3 linked regions of the Drosophila melanogaster genome follow. The protein of the gene in region 1 purifies or fractionates together with the protein of each later gene. This does not show direct contact. Each region holds a gene or a part of one and is shown in the gene's direction. Other genes may lie near its edges.

The links.
Region 2: the proteins of clu (region 1) and porin purify together in Drosophila melanogaster (affinity purification with western blotting; one study listed by BioGRID). This does not show direct contact.
Region 3: the proteins of clu (region 1) and RpS7 purify together in Drosophila melanogaster (affinity purification with western blotting; one study listed by BioGRID). This does not show direct contact.

The regions. Positions count from the first base shown.
Region 1 is NT_033778.4:16,184,638-16,192,000, forward strand, and holds the start of clu (clueless), read left to right. Parts: upstream 1-1,946; 5' UTR 1,947-2,285; coding exon 2,286-2,499; intron 2,500-3,251; exon of another isoform or gene 3,252-3,517; intron 3,518-3,940; coding exon 3,941-5,027; intron 5,028-5,125; coding exon 5,126-7,363. Other genes in the region: CG8441 (uncharacterized protein), read right to left, coding at 527-1,114, 1,175-1,348. UniProt on the Drosophila melanogaster protein: mRNA-binding protein involved in proper cytoplasmic distribution of mitochondria.
Region 2 is NT_033779.5:10,845,928-10,854,130, reverse strand, and holds porin (porin), read left to right. Parts: upstream 1-3,282; 5' UTR 3,283-3,377; exon of another isoform or gene 3,378-4,615; intron 4,616-5,065; exon of another isoform or gene 5,066-5,100; intron 5,101-5,267; coding exon 5,268-5,587; intron 5,588-5,662; coding exon 5,663-5,890; intron 5,891-5,962; coding exon 5,963-6,263; 3' UTR 6,264-6,706; downstream 6,707-8,203. Other genes in the region: SmydA-3 (SET and MYND domain containing, arthropod-specific, member 3), read right to left, coding at 1-297, 352-578, 692-1,021, 1,246-1,613; Porin2, read left to right, coding at 7,233-7,558, 7,625-7,849, 7,913-8,203. UniProt on the Drosophila melanogaster protein: Forms a channel through the mitochondrial outer membrane and also the plasma membrane.
Region 3 is NT_033777.3:30,205,093-30,212,174, reverse strand, and holds RpS7 (ribosomal protein S7), read left to right. Parts: upstream 1-3,154; 5' UTR 3,155-3,258; exon of another isoform or gene 3,259-3,517; coding exon 3,518-3,685; intron 3,686-3,749; coding exon 3,750-4,082; intron 4,083-4,135; exon of another isoform or gene 4,136-4,277; intron 4,278-4,291; exon of another isoform or gene 4,292-4,430; intron 4,431-4,544; exon of another isoform or gene 4,545-4,682; intron 4,683-4,716; exon of another isoform or gene 4,717-4,853; intron 4,854-4,883; exon of another isoform or gene 4,884-5,019; intron 5,020-5,062; exon of another isoform or gene 5,063-5,199; intron 5,200-5,248; exon of another isoform or gene 5,249-5,392; intron 5,393-5,453; coding exon 5,454-5,537; 3' UTR 5,538-5,645; downstream 5,646-7,082. Other genes in the region: CecA1 (cecropin A1), read right to left, coding at 975-1,067, 1,129-1,227; Anp (andropin), read right to left, coding at 1,955-2,032, 2,095-2,190.

The DNA.
Region 1 (7,363 bases):
ATAATTATTTGTGCAAAACCGAGAAATCATATAGATGTATCTGAGAAAACAAAAACAAAACGCAGAAAAATCCAACAATTAGAAGAAACGATTTTTCGGATTCAAAGAAATCTAATTATTGAAAACAATAAAAACTTGCTTCTTCAAGAAACCAGAAAAAAATATGTTTATACCCAGAACTAAAAATGGTGGATTTCTGTCAAGGGTATAATTAATGTATTGCCTGCGATGTCAAATTTTGAAAGCATTTATTATACTCAAAAATGCAACATTTGATGCACCTTATAAATGTAAGACAACAAAAAACAAAATGCGCACTAAAGCCACGACAACTCAATGCATAATTCGCAAAACGCTTTCTTCTCAACCAAGCTGCTTTAGAAAGATGGCCTCAGATGAAAACCCCTAGATACTGGCGATGTATAGAAATCGCTTAATATATATATATTACAAAAGTACTATAAATAAAACCGCACTGTGTTTTATTACTCTAAACGGTTTATTGATAGGAATAGAACAGGAGGTACTAAGGCACAGGCTTGTCTTGTTCTTGATCCACATTTTGGGATTCCTTTGTAGCTTCGGTGCTATCTAATTCCACTGCATTTGTGTCCTCTGCGCTTTTCGCTTCTGTATTTGAATTCACTGCCTCTTCATTCGAAGTTTCTTGGGTGTTATTGTCGTCGGATTCCTTGGATGCCACCTGTTGTCCTTCCTCAGGGCTACTTTCTGCCTTTTCTTCTGTGGGCTCTTCCTCGGAATCTGTGTTACTATCCTCTGAGGCTTCCTTAGCCAGTGGCTTCTTGTCCTCTCTCGGCTTTTTCGCCCTCTGTTTTCTCTTCAACCGTTTGGCTCGTTTCTTAGCAGTCTTTTCTTCGGCCGCGCGTCTGTTGTCGTCCAACTTCTGCTGGTAAGCTTCATCTGCTGCTTCGCGGGCACTCTGGTTCTGGATGTTCTTCTGGCGGGCGTACTCCTTGCGTCGCAAGTGGCGGTACACATGGAACTCGCCGGAACCCGCTCCAGCACTGCTTCCCATCACATTCCGCACGAACGTGGGCACCGAGGACATGAAGTCCCGTTCGCGACGCTGCTCCGGTATGACCACGGGCTTATCCTGGCAATAAAAGGTTTATTAATATGAATGTCCACCCAGCTTTCCAATGCAAACACATACCGGATTCTTCATGAGCTTCTCCAGCTTCAGCCTCTGTAGATCTGTCGCGGTTTTGATGAACGGCCGCAGAGGCTTGTCCTTCTCATCGGAATCGCTTTCTCCAGATCCCGCATTCTTTTTCTTTTTCTTTGCCTTCTGTTCGGGCTCTTTTACCAAATTCTTTATAAGCGACATGTTTGTTTGGTTAAAAACAGTATTTTATGTGTGGCTGTATTACAAGTCGTAAAAAATACACACCGAATTAAAAAAAAAACTTAACGGGGACTATGCTTGATCTGTAAAATTGTATGCGTCAAATTAGAGTCGATAAGTTAGCGGCGATGGCGGAACGGTGGAATTTCAGGAAAATTTCAATTTTTGAGATAATTTCATAACAGTAGGTCCAGCTATGAACCAACCCATCCTTAAAACAGGCCCTTTACATTAATTAATTTTTAAAAATTGTTGAATAGAAATTCACCTTCAAATAAAATAAAAAAAACCTACCCATGTTACAAATTTCACTGTTCCTCAACGACGCTAATATGACGCACTTTATAAAAAGGCTTAAAAATTTGTTTTAAATAAAAATAAGTTTGTATTGTGCATAAATTACCTTTTATTAAACAGAACACAATTGTTGTTAAAATAAATGCAATCATATATATTGGTATCGTTTTTGCGTGTGCATCCCTATCACTAGTTGTTGTCCATCTGCAATTATACACAGCAAATAACTAAATACTAATTAAAATACTGCAACCAAGCCAATGCCAGCGGTATATTTAAATGTTCACCCGGTGGTCACACTCTCAGCCGTTAACAACATAACGCGTTATTTTCTAGCGAATCGGCCGATTTATATCCTCGATAAGTAATGTGCTGAAAAGAACAGAACTAGCAAAGACCCACTTGTCATAGATGCGTACGAGATCGTTAACCAAACAACAATCACGTTCGCAATCGACCAGAAAGACACTGAAAATCGAACCGAAATCACCCCGAGCTCGGCGAGCGGTTAGAGTTGTGTAACACGGACGGACGGGCCCAAAAAAAAAAGAAACGTGAACTAGAACTCTGTGTCTCCTCCGCTGGTTTTGTTGAGTTTTTGGCGAGCAGGTGAAACAAAAGCATGGCGCTTGAAACGGAGGCGAAGAATTCAAATGCAACGGCCACGGGCGATGCAACAGCAACAGCAACAAAGGCCAGCGGCAAGGCCAAGGAGAACAACAACACGGCCGGCGGCAAAAAGAACCTGAATCCGAATTCGAATCAGCAGAATTCGAATCAGAACTTGGTCAATGGCAATGGCACGGCTGCCGACGGGCCGGCTGCGAAGAAGAAAGGTGCGTTTAACTTTCCGCCTACGCCCATGTTCAACCAACCAATCAACCACCCACCCACCCACACACCAACCCATCACCACCTCCTCTTAGCTTTGCTGCCTTGGAAACTGCCTCAATATATTATTTGCCACAAAAGCCAATCACATAACATTTTTAACATTACGTAATGGGCTTTTTCTTCCCTATAATGCCTTAAAAGCGGCGCCCGTTGTCTATGGCTGCCCCTCCACCCCCTTTTACGAGCCTTCCCTCTCCCCCTCTCTCCATAAACCGCGTGGGTTACAATTGCAATCGTAAATGTGTGTGTGTGTATTATTGGAGTTAAGTGCGTGTGTGAGAACTGCAAGTGTGAGGCTCCCTATCTCTCTCGCTCTTTCTCTTCCTCTTGGCATGGCAACGCACATGTTATTAACCCGGCAACGGCGACGAAATGTTCATTAACCCCCCGGGCGGATTTCTTGTTGCGTTTAACCTACAATTAACACGTGCGCGGCCCGAAATGCATGCACTTAACACACGCAAATTGTTCGACAATTATGTAAATCATGTTTTCTATCCGTAGACGCATCGCTCTACACTTTGTCTCCTTCTCTCCGAATTCCTTGCGGTTAATGAACATTGTACTTATCACTTTTGCTTTCTCCTCTCCCCACTCTCTTTGCCTCTCTCATTCTCTCTCCCTAGCTCTATCTCTATGTATCTCACAGTGCTGTAATTTAGTATACGGCTGTTGAAATTAGCATGGTCGTGTTAAACCCATTCCGTTTTCCTGAGAGATCGAAAGGAGATTGGATTATTCGGTGGACTGTTCGTTCGTACGGACTCCGAACGAACCCGGCCCCTTTGGCCTTATCAGCTCGCTTTTCTCTTTCTGTTTGTTTTTCTACTGTTTTGTTGTAAATGTATGTACATATGCCTTTATATGTATATGCAAGCACACAGCTTGCCGGCGAACACAGACAAACTGAGCGACAAAAGTGTGCGGACAGTATTGTTATGTAAAAATCGGAGCCTGGAGGTAGAGACACCTCTTTTTAAATTATTATATATTGCCAGACAATTTTAGAAAAGAAACGTGTAACGTATTTGCATTACCTTTAATTCTGTCACCATTTTTCAAATAATATCAAGGTTTAATTATTAAACTAGATATAAACCACTATTTATAAATTAAGAATGGTAAACATTAAATTCTAACATAAACTTGGCAGCATTGCTTGGAAATTTAAATTCCTAAGAATAATCTTTTGTTTTTAAAAACATACTAATGAACCATAATAAATAAATAACGGATTTATACAAGATTCTTCTGAGAGACATGGAAACAAAAGTCGGTCCAAAGTTCACGTTTCTCCCTATACATCGAATAGGTTACACAATGCTCCATATGCCTTTCCCAATATTGACTAACAACAAATTACTTCTTCATCGCCCCATGTAGGCAAGAAGAACCGCAACAAAAGCCCAACTGAACCCACAACCGAAGCCGTTCTGAGCAACGGACACGCCGAGAAGCCCACAGTGGTGGATGCAGTTGAGGACAATGCCGATACCAATGCCAATGTGGAGAAACCGCAGGAAGGAGGAGCACCGGATGCTGAGGCTGATGGTGATGACATTGATCTGGACGCTCTGCAGGACATTGGCATCACGGTGAACATCAGCAGTCCCGGCGCCGATCTGCTCTGCGTGCAGCTGTCCAGCATGGAGCTGGTGCAGGAAATCCACCAGCTGCTGATGGACCGCGAAGAGACGTGCCATCGTACATGCTTCTCGCTGCAGCTGGACAACGTGACGCTCGACAATTTCGCCGAACTCAAGTCAATCAATAACCTTGAGCAGGGCTCGACGATCAAAGTGGTAGAGGAGCCGTACACCATGCGGGAGGCCCGTATTCATGTGCGCCATGTCCGTGATCTTCTCAAAAACCTTGACCCGGCCGACGCGTACAATGGCATTGACTGTACTTCGCTGACCTACTTAAACACGATCACTCAGGGTGATTTGCTGGACAAGAAGAGGACGCGACCGGACTCCGTGGATTGCACTCCGCCGGAGTATGTGACTCCGGGTGTAAGTGATCCGCCAATTCTGCCATTGCATCCAAATGTGAAGAACGCCAAGGGACCGCAGGCTCTCAAGGTACTGACTACATCCGCCTGGAACCCGCCACCCGGTCCTCGCAAGCTGCATGGTGACCTCATGTATCTGTACGTTGTCACCATGGAGGATAAACGATTCCACATCTCAGCCTGTTCCAAGGGCTTCTTCATCAACCAGTCGACAGACGACACCTTTAATCCCAAGCCCGACAATCCAAGCCACCTCAGCCACTCGCTGATCGATCTGCTTTCCCACATATCACCATCGTTCCGACGTGCCTTCCAGACCATCCAGAAGCGACGCACCATGCGTCATGCCTTCGAGCGTGTAGCCACGCCCTATCAGGTGTACCAGTGGGCAGCTCCCATCCTGGAGCACACAGTGGACGCTATTCGTGCCGAGGATGCATTCAGCTCAAAATTGGGGTAGGTTGAGCAAAAAGATTTTAATAGTATTACTACATAAATGTTAACAAAGTAATAATAATTATTAATTAAATACCCTAAATCCTTCCATCCCGCAGCTACGAAGAGCACATCCCCGGACAGACGCGCGACTGGAACGAAGAGCTACAGACGACACGGGAACTGCCACGTAAGACACTGCCGGAGCGCTTGCTGCGCGAGCGCGCCATCTTCAAGGTGCACGGGGATTTCGTGACTGCCGCCACGAGGGGCGCCATGGCCGTTATCGACGGCAATGTGCTGGCCATTAATCCCGGCGAGGACACCAAGATGCAGATGTTCATTTGGAACAATATCTTCTTCTCGATGGGCTTCGACGTAAGAGACCATTACAAGGAACTGGGCGGCGATGCAGCCGCCTTTGTTGCCCCACGATACGATCTGCACGGCGTGCGTGTCTATAATGCCGTTGATATTGAAGGATTATACACACTGGGAACCGTCGTCGTTGATTATCGCGGCTACCGTGTTACTGCCCAATCTATTATTCCCGGAATTCTGGAGCGGGAGCAGGAGCAAAGCGTCGTCTATGGCTCCATTGACTTTGGAAAGACGGTGCTCAGCCATCCCAAATACTTGGAGCTTCTTAGACAAGCCGGTAAGCATCTGAAGATTTTGCCACACGTAGTGCTTAACGAGCGGGATGAACCCGTGGAGCTGTGCTCCTCGGTGGAGTGCAAGGGCATTATTGGAAACGATGGCCGACACTACATCCTCGACTTATTGCGCACGTTCCCGCCAGACGTGAACTTCCTGAAGCTTCAGGACGTGCAGCTGAGCAAGGAATTAGTTGATATGGGCTTCCCTATCGAGCACAGGCACAAGTTGTGCTGCCTGCGTCAAGAGCTGCTGGAAGCTTTTATAGAGGATCGACATGTTAACTTTATCCGAATTGCTGCTGCGCGCCTTCAGCAGCTTACTACCATAAAGCAGTCTGAAAAATCGGAGGCGAATCCTGTTCCAGCCTTAGAAGGAGCAGAAGCGGCAAGTAAAGTGAACGGAGCTGAAAAACCCGATGACAAGGAGAAGAAAAACGAAGAGGAGGAGAAGAAGGAGAGGTCCACTTCTGGCGAGGCAAGGGCCGCCGCCATTGTTAATGCCATCCGGGAAGCACAGTCCAATGTAGCTACTTCGAATGAGGTGCAAGCTGCCGAGGTAGTAAAGCGGGCTTGCGCCGCCGTTGGATCGCTGAAGGAGAAAGAGTTTGACTTCCGCTTCAACCCCGACGTATTCTCGCCTGGCATTCGTCACGCGGATGGCGAGGAGGGCACCTCGCTGGCCAAACAGAAGGTGCTCGTGCAGGAAGCAGCCGAGTTTCTCGTCCTTAAGCAGATACCCGCCTTTATCAAGGAACATATGTCCCATTCATCGTCACCAATCGATGGCCAGAGTCTAACAGAATCTTTGCACAGTCACGGCATCAACGTGCGTTATTTGGGCAAGGTTATCAAAATTTTAAGCCAAATGCCTCGCATGGATTACCTGCATAGGATCGCTGTCCTCGAGCTGATCGTACGGGCCACCAAGCACATCTACTATACGTACATGCAGAATACAGAGCCGCTGCACCTCTCTGCTGCCATCAGCCACTTCCTCAACTGTCTGCTGACCAACGGACCCGTCAACCCGGCCGTGAGCAGCGAGGAGGCGCACAAGAAACGCGGCAACGGCGGTAAGCACAACAAGCACAAGTCCTCCAAGGGCGGAAAGGGTCAGCAGCAACAGCAGACGACAGGCAATCAGAATGGCAGCTCGTCTGGCTCCTCCAATAGTTCATCCGCATCCGATTGGACTCTGATGACGCCCCGATCCCTGTGGCAGCAAATTCGTAAGGAGGCCAAGGTCTACTGGGACTGGGAATTGGATTGTGACTCGATTGAGACTGCGGTCTCCAAATACGGCATCCTGCGTATCAGTCTGATGCGCGCCTTCTGCTTGAAGGTTGGTATTCAGGTGCTGCTGCGAGAGTACAACTTCGAGTCCAAGCACAAGCCAACCTTTGGCGACGACGACATCGTCAATGTGTTCCCAATTGTGAAGCACATTAGTCCCCGGGCAACCGACGCCTATAACTTCTACACCACGGGCCAGGCCAAGATCCAACAGGGCTTGTTTAAGGAGGGCTATGAGCTAATCAGCGGAGCACTCAACCTGCTGAACAACGTATTTGGCGCATTGCATCAGGAAAACGGATCCTGCCTGCGCATGCTGGCCAGGCTCAGCTACCTCTTGGGCGATGCCCAAGATGCTCTAGCGATCCAACAGCGAGCAGTGATCATGAGCGAGCGGGTGAACGG
Region 2 (8,203 bases), on another chromosome or scaffold:
GGCATAGCTCCGCCTTGCGCTCCAATTGGTGGTCCGGCAGTTGCACCATCTCGTAGCCCTGTACTCGCCCGTACATCTCGATGAGCAACTGCCTCAGCCCGGTGGCTATAAAGTGCAGCGGATGCAGCAGTGATTTGTACTTGCGCAACAGTCGTTCGATCTCCTCCAGCCGCTTGGCTGCCATGGGCAGCGCTTGCACGGCATTCACCTCGGATTGCAGGGATTGGAGCATCGCCAGTGCATCCGCATTGCTGGTGTCGGAGCCACAGTTCGCGCAGTTCCAACTAGTGTCCGGTTCTGCGTAGTGGATAAGGTCAGCTTATCACTTTCTAGAGGATCTTTTTCGCTCACCTGTTGGCTGCCTGGGCACTTGGAATCCCTCGGCGCACTGACCACACTTCAGGCTGGAGAAGTGCGTTCCCAATTCGGTGGGATCCAGACAGCGTTCGCATTGGCAGGTGAAGAACTTGCCCTGCTTCAGGTGCTTCTGTCTCTGGGCAGTGCCATCCAATGTGTAGGTGTAGCTGTGGTGCAGGGGCTGACCCTCCTCCAAGTCCACCATGGCGCGCAGTCGGATTCTTTGGAAGAGAAACAAATATAGGAGGACTTATTTTAGATGTGCAACAGCGGAAATGTAATTCTAGACATCTTGAACTAGAGAACTGAATTTACAAATCTATTTACAACTCACTTGTATCCCTCGCTGGGATAGATGCTCCTGGATGTGTTGGGCACGCAGTTGTGGGCCAGAATGCCGGTATAGGGAAAGAGGCACCTCAGTGGATAGCCCTTCGGGCTGCGCGCCTCGAAGGCGTTCACCTCCAGCACACCCACCACCTGCATGATCAGCTCCTCGCTGAATCGGTTGGCCAGTTGGCAGGGACCGCGCAAATACTGAGCGATATTAACGCGATCCGCATGCCAGACATCCGCGTCCCTTTGGCGCTCCTCCTTGTGGTGCTCCATGGGTGCCACCTCGTTGTCCCATCGCTCCGGATTCGCCTCCTTGGCCAACAGAACTCTGAAAGTAGAAAGTTTAAAAGGGTATTCCAAATGACAATCATATGAAGCACAACAAGTAACCTATTGATTATAATTAGCTACATTAAATTAAAAATCTTTCTCTTTTTTAATTGTTAATGAATCCTTTTGTATATAACTTTCATCTTGAGCGGATAAAATAGTGACGCTATCAGTTTGCCTGGTGCCTGGTGGTCTATTTTTGTTCCACCCGCTGGGCTTCACCTGAGCGGCATAATACAGTCCAATTGCGGACAGTGCCTGCTGCCGCTGGGCAGGCGGAAGAATCGTGCCCGAGCATCCTTCAGCTGGCTGCACTCCAGGCGGAAATGGGCGTTATCCGCTTGTTGGGCGCACTCCACGCACAGCGGCCAGCCACATTCGCTACACAGCTCCTCCTCCGGATCTGGGTTGGGTTCGTAGCAACCCAGGCACACCACCGGTCCATTGCACTTGGGCCCGACGGCAAAGGGCAGCTCCTCGATCAGCAGACCGTGGCCACGGATCGCTCCCTTGGCCACCAGATAGCGTCCGCAGACCGGACTCCACTGAACCGCTGTCCTATTCACCGACAGCGTTGGCGGCGATGTCATTTCGCTGACTGATGCCGGCTGGCCGCACTCAGATCTCAGATCTCATGTCATGGGCACACCCCACAGATGATGCCTCCTCCCCACTACATGACTACATTTCTGCCTGCTCCGACATAAAGCATCAAAATTGCTGGGCACAGTGGGCATGCGAGGTCCTAGGTGAGAAATTTTAGTTTTGAACAAATTGTCTTGAGAAAACATTGTTCAATTTCTATAATAACTAAAATACCTTACATTTTCATAAATTAAATAATTTACTGGTTGTAACTTTTAAGTTGCTTGTAACTTTTAAGTTGCTTGTAACTTTTAAGTTGCTTGGCTTTGTTAGTTCTATTTCTAAGTACTAAGCACCGATCTATTTAAACATGTGCTTAACATTATTTAAATAATAATTCACAGTGCTTACAGTTCAGTTTTGCTACGAAATATATAAAAACATGATGGTACATTGATCATAACGCGCCGCAACTATCATATACCAATTATTCTGTCATAATAATATGTACAAATATGGCTTGTTTCATGCCATAATTTTCTCCTTACTTTCATGCACTTTAAATTTAGCTATTTATTTTTTATTTTCTGTGCGATTTGCTCCACTGTCCCTTTCACAGACTTGTTAATCCATCCGTCCGCCTTCTTTGACGTAGAGTCGCCATGAGAATCTGTATATGCCGGCTAGCCTGCGAACTGCGAGAAATGGGCCGCTGCTGCCAAAACTAATATTCGGACAGACCGCCCAGGTTCCCCTAGTAGCACCCAGTAGCCCCTGCTGTACGGATGTACCCAGCACCATCACCCCCGCCCCGCTGGAGCGCCCGCGAACTAACCTCAATATGGTTATGCAATCCAACTGCGGGCAGACGCCATCATCGCTCACATTCCCGGCGAAAGTGACACGTGCGGCGGAGAAGACCTGGCACTCTCCGCGGTGCTCCGTGACGTCTTCGTCGTCGGCGCACGATCCGCACAGCGGCCAATCGCAGAGTTCGCAGCGGTCCAGCGAATCGCCGTCCTCTCCGAACTGCAGGAACTGGTAGCAGCCCAGGCACACGATTCCGCTGTCGCGCTTCGGTCCGCGTGCGAAGGGCAGCTCCTCCAGCACCAGCTCGCCCCGCTCCACGGAGCTAGAGGTGGCCAAGCAGCGTCCCAGCACGGCGTCCTCCTGCAGACGGGCCTTCAACATTCTGTCGCCGCACGGCAAATGCACTGGTCTCGCTTTTGGCCCATCCGAATGGGATTATGCGGTCGATTGGCGGCCCTGCACGCAGATTCGTCTAAAAATAAAAAGAGCATCGCACACACTTCATTGGTGTCAATCAATAAAGTTGTAATATATTTATTGCATTTTGATTGCTTTGGATTATAACTTTTTTAAAGCCCATTTACTTGTCCACAACTTTAAAGTTTTCGTTTGCAGGAAACCCTTTTATGTAAAAAAAAAACACTTTGATGTAAGTTAATTGTTCTTAAGATAACGAATTTCTTAATAGAATGATTGAATTCTAATTTCAATAATTATTTTAAGTAACCGTTAGTTTTCAAATTTCCGTTACAAAAAGTGTGACCATTGCCATTAAGAGTGACGCAGCGTTACCAGATAGTATATCTGCGGCTTGTTTTAGGGAATAATTATTGGACGAATTTTTAGGGTTGGTAACACTAAGGCACAGAATTACAAAATTTTTTGGTGTACGTTTGTCGTGGTGTCTCTGTTCCTCTGCGTTTCGCATTACACTCTAACCAAACTAAAACTCATCAAAAGTAAGTAGCTCAGGAGTAAACCCCCTCAAAATTCAGTGAAATGTGATGGATACCCCTATGGGTAGAAGGAAAATCAGGATTTTCGGTGCCAGTGATTTCATAACCTCGAAATGAAAAAATTGCAAGTAGACACGCGCATGAACGAAAAGCAAAAGGGCTGAGCACTTTTTTGTTGGATGACGATGGGCGAGCTTCTTATCACCAAATCACGCAATAATTAATTGATAAATCCGAAATTTAAAGGGGATATTAAGCCGGTTAGCTGTCACACACACATCCACACATGAACAGTCCACGCACACCAATGCCTTCGCAGTTCATTGGCAGCAGCTGCCGGCGAAAAAAGGGGGCAAAGAAGCAGAGAGATCGATGGAAAAGTGCCTGGCGAATTTCCGTTACGTAACGCATGTCGCATCAATTCCGTTCGTTATCGTCATGTTGCCATCCACCAGCGTGCAGCTCGCTCAATAAACATTTTCGATTTCACTCTTTACCGTTCTTTATCGTCGTTTTGTTTGTTTGTGGTCATGTGAGGAGGTGGGTGCACTTCGCGATTGTGGGTGGTATTTTCGCAGTGACGTCACCTGGAAAATCAATAGACCACCTTTTCGGGCAGCTATTCACTTAGCTTTCCACTTTCCCTCATCGATTTCCCTGCTGTTATGCAACTGTCGAAAAAATGAGCTGCACATCCACCCAACCACCCCCTTTATAATCTGCTTGTCAAGGTCATCGTCAACGAGATGCTGATTCATTTTCACCGGGACATCCACCTGATAGTATTATTTTCAGCATCTAGTGACCAGGTTATATCACCTGACTTCCGGAACAATAAGAGCCCATCCCATTTAACGTTTGGCTGCCGGCCATAAAGATTTTTGTCTGCTGGCCGCTGCTTTTCATAATTTTCTGCCTTGATTGCCTTGAGTTTCCCCCCACCAATCCCCCCGAACACAACATGAAATATTTATATTGTTATATCTATATAATAATTTCAATTAGATGTTTTGGGTTATTTTTGTTTGATTTTTTTTATGCTCAATATCGGATAGAAATTTATTTATCCGCGACTAATATTCCTACCGCGACTGTGAGTCGCATTCCTGACGTCACGCAAATAGAAACAGCGAAGCAGTGACCACAGCAGACGTTGCAAATGTGCAGTTAGCTTCTGAGTCAATGATCGCTAGCCTAACGGGACTGAACTGACCAGCAATTAATGCCAGCAAGAACGGAACGTAAACATAGAGAGAGGCAAACCTGTGGCCAGATAAATAGGGAAAATCTCAGTATTTTTATTAAAATTTTAGTTTAAAAAACCTATAAAAATATTTGAAAAATAAATTTTGATTTAAATGGTTTTGCATTGGTATAGAAAACCCTTAATTTCTTGGAGTAAAATAGACTTAGTCACTATTTGTTTTCTATCTTCGCTTCTATTTTTTGCGCCACTTTATTTTGCCCAGACGTGCATTGACCCCCTCCTCAGTCACTCAGAATTTTCGCTGCTTCAGTTGGTGATTCTTTGCATGTGGCCGCCTTGAACACTAATCTAAATTGATTTCTTTATTTTCGCCGCACAAAATTGACATTTAGCCAAAGTGAAAATGGGGAAAAAGCCCTCGAAATTCTTGGGACATGTTGATGCTGTTTTTTGGCGTCTTTTAGTTTTCACTTTTCATTTGCGGCCGATAGAACATTTTGAAATCAAGTCGAGCAAAAAGTAATAATCATTATGTTGCTGATAAGATTAAACTTATCGTTCGCTAAACGCAATTAATGACCTGGCGAGTGAAATGATTTCGCAATAAGTATCATCGTCATGATTATCGATTATTCACCAACTAATTGAAGGTGCGATTTAATGCATTCCATTTCAATCCATTCCAGATGGCTCCTCCATCATACAGCGATTTGGGCAAACAGGCTCGCGACATCTTCAGCAAAGGCTACAACTTTGGCCTGTGGAAGCTCGATCTGAAGACTAAGACCTCGTCGGGCATTGAGTTCAACACAGCCGGACACTCCAACCAGGAGTCTGGAAAGGTCTTCGGCTCCCTGGAGACCAAGTACAAGGTCAAGGACTACGGCCTGACCCTCACCGAGAAGTGGAACACAGACAACACGCTGTTCACCGAGGTTGCTGTCCAGGATCAGCTCCTCGAGGGTCTGAAGCTGTCCCTGGAGGGCAACTTTGCTCCTCAGTCTGGGTAAGGATCACATGTTATTACATATATGTTCACTGCAGAATAATTAATATTGCATATTTAATTAAAAATCGTCAGAAACAAGAACGGCAAGTTCAAGGTTGCCTACGGCCATGAGAACGTCAAGGCCGATTCGGATGTGAACATTGATCTGAAGGGCCCCTTGATCAATGCCTCTGCCGTGCTTGGCTACCAGGGATGGTTGGCCGGCTACCAGACCGCATTTGACACACAACAGTCCAAGCTGACCACCAACAACTTTGCCCTTGGCTACACCACCAAGGACTTTGTTCTGCACACAGCTGTGTAAGTATTGCAATTGCCACGCATGGCAAATGAAATCAATGCAAACTAATGATTGCCTTGTCCGGTGTTTAGCAACGATGGCCAGGAGTTCAGCGGCTCGATCTTCCAACGCACTTCGGACAAGCTGGATGTGGGTGTACAGCTGTCGTGGGCCAGCGGCACCAGCAACACCAAGTTCGCCATCGGCGCCAAGTATCAGCTGGATGATGATGCCAGCGTGCGCGCTAAGGTGAACAACGCCAGCCAGGTGGGTCTGGGCTACCAGCAGAAGTTGCGCGACGGAGTCACCCTGACCCTGTCCACGCTGGTCGATGGCAAGAACTTCAATGCCGGCGGCCACAAGATCGGTGTGGGTCTGGAGCTGGAGGCCTAAGTCCGTGGTTTTCCGCTAGTCGTGAAATCCTTGAACGTTGTCTAACATCCCCACACGCCCAACAACAACAACAACAACAATAACAGCAGCCAGACAAGTGCAGAAACAACAACAAGATCAAACAAAATAAAAGATACGATATTCTTTAAAAACAAACAACACACAGTCAAATATAAAGAGAATCTGCACATCTTAGCGATTCGATTGGATTGGATTAGTTGTCAGCCGGCCATCACCACATCCGCCCATTCCCTGCCCCAGCCACGCGAATCTGCAGGAGAGACACTGCCAAACAAACGATGCAGGGGGATGGATGGGTGGTGCAATCGATGGGTCGGTCAGGTCAGTCCGTCGTCGTTGGATGTAGCTTTGATTAGTGCATTGAATATTAGCGAAATTGTTGTTGACAAAAGTGCAGTAAAAATACATTTACCTATTAAACGAAAAAAAAAAACAAAATGGAAAAGACGGAATATTATGGCTCAAAAGGCATTGCATTTTTTTCAGTTCTCAAGGCTTTACGGATTGCCTGCAAAATCCTGCGGCGAAACTAGGACACACATAACACCAAAATCACATCCTTAATAACAATCTTTACCTTTTCGTTGTGCATTTACCTGAGAAATAAATCGAGAAGAAATAAATTATCTTGATTGCAGCGTTGGTGGTGGAAGGCTTGGGAATGGTTAGCTTAATTTAAGGATTTAAGCTTGAAAGAAAAAACTGTATAATAAGATAAGTACCTTATACTGATCCCAAGTTCTTTGTGCTTGAAAAACTTAACTTTTTCGGTTGGGCACAGGACTCCGTGCGTTTTAGTTCACAGGTCTCCAGCGTGTATAAAACTCGATACTGATCAGGCAGCGTTAGACATAAATTTTCGGCTAATCGAGGCTGTTGAAAAGTAGACAAAAAATTTCGAAATTAGTCGGGCCATATATACCATACCACCTATTCATACAGCCCGTAATGGCCGCCAAAACACCGACATACCCAGATCTGGGCAAGCTGGCCCGCGATCTCTTCAAGCGCGGCTACCATCCGGGCATCTGGCAGATCGACTGCAAGACCCTGACCAATTCGGGGATTGAGTTCTTCACCACCGGCTTCGCCAGCCAGGACAACAGCAAGGTGACCGGCTCGCTTCAGAGCAAGTACAAGATCGAGGACCAAGGCCTGACCCTAACCGAGCGATGGAACACGGAGAACTGGCTCTTCGGTGAGATTATGCACCGGGATAAGTTGGCACAGGGCCTGATGTTGGCCGTCGAGGCCAAGTTTCAGCCGGGATCAAAGTGCGTATTCCTTTGGGGATCGTTTAGGTAGCATCCTTTAATTATATAAACATCTCGGGTCAACAGTGAGGCGGATGGCAAGTTCAAGATGGGCTATGCCCAGGACAACTTTAACTTCCTGGCCGACATTGGACTGAACTCGGAGCCGATACTCAACTGTTCGCTGGTTGTGGGCCACAAGGAGTTCCTCGGCGGCGTGGGCACCGAATTTGACGTTGGCAACACCGAACTCAAGGGCTGGAAGGTGGCCCTTGGTTGGACAAATGAAACTGCCACCCTCCATGGCGAGCTGTAAGTTCCCCGTGTGACGAGATGTGGGAAGACTTTATCTTATGTCTTTTAATCAATTTGCAGGAAGAACGGCGACACCTGGTTGGCCTCGCTGTTCTACAAGGCGAGCGAGAAGATCGATGCCGGTATCGAGGTAACCAAGGGAGCCGGCGGCGGCGAAGCTGCCGAGGGTGAACAGCAGGGCGGAGATGTGGTCGTCAATCTGGGCATGATCTACCACTTGGAGGAGGATGCCCTCGTACGCGCCAAGGTCAACAACCTGGTGGAGCTGGGCCTGGGCTATGAACAGAAACTGCGCGACGGCATCACCGCCTCCATATCCGCCGTGCTGGATTGCAACAACTTTAAGGACGG
Region 3 (7,082 bases), on another chromosome or scaffold:
GGAAAGTGATCGACTGTTGATTGCACCAGGAACGCCGAGAGCTTTTATAGGCGAATCAGCTTAAGTTCAGCGCCTGATAAGGCTCGAAAGGGGATTTTTATGGCTGAAAAGTACACGAGAGGAATCCAAACCGATCAAAACCAACCTGTCGGATTGGGGGATTTTTAAATTTGCATATTTCATATGCATAGGGATTTTTTACCTCGTCAATGCGGGAGACTAAGAATCAGAGAGGAAACCCCTTCTTTGAATCAATCAAAATAAAAACACTACGAAATCATTTGCGATAAGCCCACAACTGATTTGGAATGATCGTTTGAAAAGCGTATATTACATTATCAGTTTGAATAACAATATACAAAAAATATATAAAATAAAATCTATTAATTTAATTTCTTATAAATAATACCCTAACTTAAGTTTATCCCCTGGCAGTGATTGCCACATTGGCTGCTTTCGAAGCGACTTCAGCAACTTGCAGGGTAGCATTTAGGGTGTATAGACCAACGTCCTTCTGAGGATTTAGAATCATAGTTAGATGCAAAGAAATCTTTTAAAATGACTAAGCTTACTAATGTCCCGTCGAAGCCAGCTTCCAATTGTGGCCAATAAGTGGTCAGGATGAGGACAAATAAAATCCACAAATTAATCTAATTGTTTCAGTATTTGACAAGCGACTGATAATTTAAACTAAAAGACTGGTCCTTTTATAGGTGAAACGAATTATATTTCAACAGATAAGACATAATCTCGGCCTTTCCAAATCGGAAAAGAAGCGATTTGTAATATCCTGTATAAATAATGCCTCTTAAGTGTATTTAAAATGTGTGTATAAATTCAAGAGTTCGCTTTTCTCCAACTCTTTAAAAAACAAAGTTTGAATAGAATTCTTTAAATTTTTAAAATTGTTTTATTTACAGGGAGCAACAGAATAAATAGATCTTTAAATAAATAATTATAAATAATCATCGTGGTCAACCTCGGGCAGTTGCGGCGACATTGGCGGCTTGTTGAGCGATTCCCAGTCCCTGGATTGTGGCATCCCGAGTGTGCTGACCAACGCGTTCCTTCGAAAAGAAGTTAGTCAGTTAGTTTCCGTCTTAACAGATTTCAAATGGAAGAACTTACGATTTTCTTGCCAATTTTCTTCAGCCACCCAGCTTCCGATTGTCCAATGGTGATGGCCAGAATGAGAGCGACGAAAACGAAGATGTTGTAGAAGTTCATGGTGATATTTTCTTGATTTTTTCTTAGGAGAAGCTAAAGATATTGATATTGCAGTGAGGTCTGAGCGACTGATGACTGCGATACAAAAGGCGAGAGCTTTTATAGGCGAACAGCCAGCTTGAAAAACAAAATGACAGATAAGGCATGCACGGGGATTTTTGCAGAGAAAAGTACACTGAAGGTAACCGATCTGATTCCAAGCACACATCTGCACATCTAGGGAACAATCGGGGATTTCAATGCTATAATCCAAATATGTAAATTACAAATTGTAATATCCTTTAAACGGTTCTGGGCCAATTTGAATTAGAGCTTTAATAACTCTATCCTTTTGGCATTTTGAATTGATCTCTTTCTATCTTTCTAAGACAGTCAAATTCAAATTTACTCTATCACTCAAGGGCAATTTATTTACATAAACGCATCCAATTTGTGGTATTTTTCGAGGGGAATCACTACAATATTTTACTAAAGGCACTAAATTAAGTTTGAAAAATTCAATAGGCATTAAATGACAATAAAAAATAATTGTTTACTGAGCACGTACGAATCTGAAAACTTATTTAACATTTTATTGTAAGCGAAAGCGGTATGTATGTACATACATCTCGGTCTATATTAACTAACTTAACTAAAAGTCTTGCGTTAGTAACTTAGTTGTTTTTCAGATTTTAAAATTTGTGTTTATTTTCGTTAAACGATACATTAATTAAATTGCAGTGCAGAATTACTTCGGATTGATCAATTTTTCAAAGGGCTTAGCAAAGCCAATTCCCACTTGAGCAGCATTGTGTATTGCGTTTTCCTGTAGAAATACAAATGTTTAAGCTTCATTGTAAACTACAATTGTTTAAAGAAGAAACAAACCACTTTGTCAAGAATATCAATAAATACTGCATCCGAAGGACCCACGCTGATGGCCAAAATGAGGGCCAGGACGACAAGGACCACAAAGTATTTCATAACTAGATCGCTGGGTTTTCCGAATTTTACACTGATGATTTAGACTGAAAAACAAGTGGCTTTATAGGCAATCAACCCACCGAAAAACGTTTACAATAATAATTAGACCTTAAACATATTAATTACAATATGTAAAAAAAAAGAACTCGTGTTTTTGCATTGAAAGAGACTTAAAAAGGTTTTTTATTCAAGAGCATATTTCTTGGAATTACTAAAAACCTCAACAAGTTACTAAGTTTTCATTCAATAGTGTTCTATAGTAATTAAGTTCTACAATTCTGTAGGTTAAAACTCATACGGCAAATGGCACTGGAATTTACATATATTATATTATCAATATTATCAACTTAAAAATGTCCGTTGAAAAGATTAAATATGTCTGCGTAAATATTATCTACACATATATTTAAGGCAATAACTAATATTTTTTATTATGTTGTTAATAATCTCATTAAATTCCTAATTTATGGAAATCCATTCCAAAATCCAAAATCTGTGTAATTACTTTTTTTTAAAAAACGTTACATGTGGTAACAATTGCGCCCCCTGTGGGGCTTTAATCGCAACATAAGTGGTGATACTCGCCGCTGAAGCATGGTAGATAACCCTAAACGAACCTATCGATATATATTTTCAAAGAAACATTTTATATTGTTCATACAACAATTTTTTTAATTTTATAGGCTAACAACTTAACTTATTAAAAAAAAATTTTATAATAAAGTTTTTCCAAACATAAACCCATAGTGGCATACAAACTTATCGATGCTAACTCATAAATTCGTTATACACAATCTTTGCTGAGAACTATCGATTTTTACACGCAAAACATTAAAACGCTGAAACACTTCAAAGAAATATAATCAAATTTTCTTGAATGGATGTTATGTTATAATGTTAAATTTTATATATTTAGCCATCCCTCGTATTTTCGACGAGTAATTGCTCCTGCAACTGTATCGATAGTATCGCACAACGTTCGCGCGTGTCTCATCGATAACAACTCGCTCTGTTTTCCACCTCTACGTCGTGGCTCGACTTCCTTTCCTGTCAAAATAGTCGACAAAGGTGGTACTTTTTTTCTTCCGTCGCCGAAAATGGCCAAAATACGCGGTCGCCACAACGCAGTGCAGCGAAATAATAAGAGAAAAGGCCGCAATGATAATGGCAAATTACGATTTTCTTGTGAATCCAGAGAAATGCTGGCGAAATAACGCCGATTGCCGGCGATTTGTGATTGTACTGCGTTGTGGGGAAGCGTCTGCCGCAGCGAATTTTGTGTTTGTAATTGAACCGAAAGCTAAAATACCGGTGATGAACATTGCAGATGGCTATCGGCTCCAAGATTATCAAGCCCGGCGGCTCGGATCCCGATGACTTCGAGAAGTCCATTGCCCAGGCGTTGGTGGAACTCGAGGCCAACAGCGACCTGAAGCCCTACCTGCGCGATCTGCACATCACCCGTGCCCGCGAGATCGAGTTCGGCAGCAAGAAGGTAAACAGTATATGGCGTACATGTGGAGCCTTCAATAGTAATCCGTAACCCACTCTGCACGCAGGCCGTCATCATCTACGTGCCCATTCCACAGCAGAAGGTGTTCCAGAAGATCCAGATCATCCTGGTCCGCGAGCTGGAGAAGAAGTTCTCGGGCAAGCACGTCGTCGTGATTGCGGAGCGCAAGATCCTGCCCAAGCCCACGCGCAAGGCCCGCAACCCCCTCAAGCAGAAGCGTCCACGCTCCAGGACTCTGACCGCTGTGTACGACGCCATCCTTGAGGATCTGGTCTTCCCCGCCGAGATTGTGGGCAAGCGCATCCGCGTCAAGCTGGACGGCTCCCAGCTGGTCAAGGTGCACCTGGACAAGAACCAGCAGACCACCATTGAACACAAAGTAAGCATAAGCATCCTCCACCTCAAAGAAGAGTGCATCGTGTGTGTTAGCAGGCGCGTACCCTCGATATTTGGGCCTTCCGTGCCATGGAGCTCAATCTTCGCCAGGGGACGCAGAACAGTCAGGGCCAATTACTCGTTATTGCAGGCATTAGAAGCCATTGCGGTCCTGCATCTCCAAATATTGGCCACAGTTGGTCTTTTGATACATCGTTCTTGTGTTTTTCGCTGGCTGTCCTTCCAAAGCCAGTGATTGTCAAACAGAACGTACATTAATGGCAGCTTATCACTCCACAATGTTGAGCCGAGTTTTCACGGTTACTGCATTACTTTCCGGCTCGCCACATCATTACACACTCAAATCGATACTTGAAACCATTTAAACAGTAGAATGAAAAGTCAAATAAGGGGGATAACAGATGGATAGAAAGATTATATGTTTAAATGTACATAGAACTTTCTATCGTTTTTGTGTTATTTGCTGGAAGTTACATCCAAAGCCAGTGATTGTCAAACAGAACGTAAATTAATGCGGCTATCACTCCACAATGTTGAGCCGGCTTTCCAGGGCTACTGCATTACTTTTCGGCTCGCCACACTCTCGTAGAATCTTTTAAATACCTTGGTTTCTACCACCGTTCTTGTGTTATTCGCTAGATCTTTTCATGGCCTAGCGAGCGTCAAACAGAACGCAAACTGAAGCAACGAATCACTCCACAATGGTGGGTCTACTTTACCAGGACTGCATCATTACTAAAGGATTGCTACAGTTGAATATCCACGAGAATGCTAATTGTGAACTCCGTTCTTGTGTTATTCGCTAAGCGATTACCTAAGCTCAGCGATTGTCAAACAGAACGTAGATTAACTGCCGCTAATCACTCCACAATGTTGAGCCGACTCTCAACGGCTACTGCATTACTATATGCGCCACATTCATGTCAATCAACACTTAGCCCTTGAATACTTTGGTTTCCATCACCGTTCTTGTGTTATTTTCTGGACGTTGTTCAAGTCCAGCGATCGTCAAACAGAACGCAAAGTAATGCAACGAATCACTCCACAATGTTGGGTCTACTTTGCCAGGACAGCATCATTACTTAAGGATTGCAACAGCACCTTACATTTAGAGTTACTCATCTGAAAACACACACGATGCACTTTGAGTGCCGCCTATTTGCCTCTCGAGCGCCGTTTAGTTTCCTGGGGCCTCGGGACTTCCTATATAAGCGGAAGATTAATCCAGCCTACCGTACGATATCTTCGCTGCGGTATTTTCTGCCGCAGCGGAGGTTGCGGTGCTGTACACTGCAATAAATAAGTTAATTCCTCTGATCGTGTAAACTAATACGTTCTCTATTTATCTCTCCAGGTCGACACCTTCACCTCGGTCTACAAGAAGCTGACTGGTCGCGATGTTACCTTCGAATTCCCCGACAACTACCTGAATGTCTAGAGCGGCGGGTTCTCGTTCGAGAGTAGCACTGGTTCGCCGGTTCATCTGGGAATATGAGTTTTTTACATGAGCTAGAGAACGTGAATAAACATTAAACAATCTAAAACTAAGCAAACTTCCAATTAAGCCAACTCGCTCTCCGTTGTCCTGTAATTAATCAGCGTTAAGCGCAAAGTTTCCTGAGTCTCGCTACATTCGTTCGAACTTTAATCCTTTGAAGGAGCAGTATCCTGCTGGGAAGGGATGTCACATGTTGTGATTAAGGGCAGCCATAAAAGGGGTTATTACATGGCGGAAAGCGCCATTCATTTGATGCCTGCTCAACTGCTTAATTAAAAAGTTGACGTATGTTCTTCCAAGACTCGCACGTGTGGCGAAAGGGGTTAATCTTGTGGCTACATTTTCCACTTGGCGCCTCCCATTTGCATACCATGTAATTATGCCTTTTGAACAATCACGTGTGATTGTTGGTGGTAGCAACATGAAAGGGTGTGGGTTTCTTGGATTGATTCATTTTTGGAAAGAGAAAGCTTTTCGACATGGAACACCCCATTAAAAGCTTATTAACCGCCATATTTGAATGTACTGCATGTTCGTTCATTTGGCAAAGGCTGCTGAACGAAATCAATCTTCTAAAGAAACCCCTTGATTATACTTAGTTGTATATTATATGTTTAAATTAATCATTATATTCTAATTCTATTTTATTACGATTTAGTAACCGTAATATAGCTATGGCATTCTGCCATCCCCCTGATTTTATCAACCAATTAATCGATCCTTCTGCAAGAAAACCACAATAGGTTTCATTAGGGCATTAGTGCATTCCTGCTCCGTTTAAGCTGTCCAAGTCGATTGATTGCAGTTTTGAAATTCAATTAGAAGCCACCGCGAAATCACGCAATTCAACAATTCCGAAATGTTACACGAGCTAAGGGCAAACAATGGGAACCACAAATTGCTTGTGTATATTGGTGGGTTAAAGCCAAAGGACTGGCAGGACATTCACATGAAAGTGAACACGAATGGCTTTAAGTTCGGGAGTAGAAAGACAAGACTAGTTGAGTTGAACCTTCGATTTTCGACAATTTGTTGATGGTGTCAGGTGGGAATTCCCGGTGAGTTGTGGTGCTACCACCAGGGGGCATAAACCTCGGGCGAGACGGAAGGTGCGATGACAAGTTGGTGGGATCTCTGGGGGAGGTGGCTCGCCGGCTATCGGCGATTCTATCTAAATGACCCCGCCGAATCGTCTATTATTGATGGTGCCTAATTGTGCGCCGTTCTAGACGAACAGTTATCATTAGGGGTGTTGTTTTTCAGATGGGATGGGTGGTGTGCTCGTCCTTGAAGCGATAACGCGCCATTTCGCCTTGGGCAACTCCACTCCACGCCCTAATTAAAACGCTGCCCACACACTTGCAAATGGACTGGGGGCACTTTGTATGTAGATTTTATGTGACATGTGCTTGGCAATCGCAGTTCGGTTCCCACCACATCCTGTCGCCGGAATTGGGAAATTCCCAGCCCCTGCAGGACCCGGCG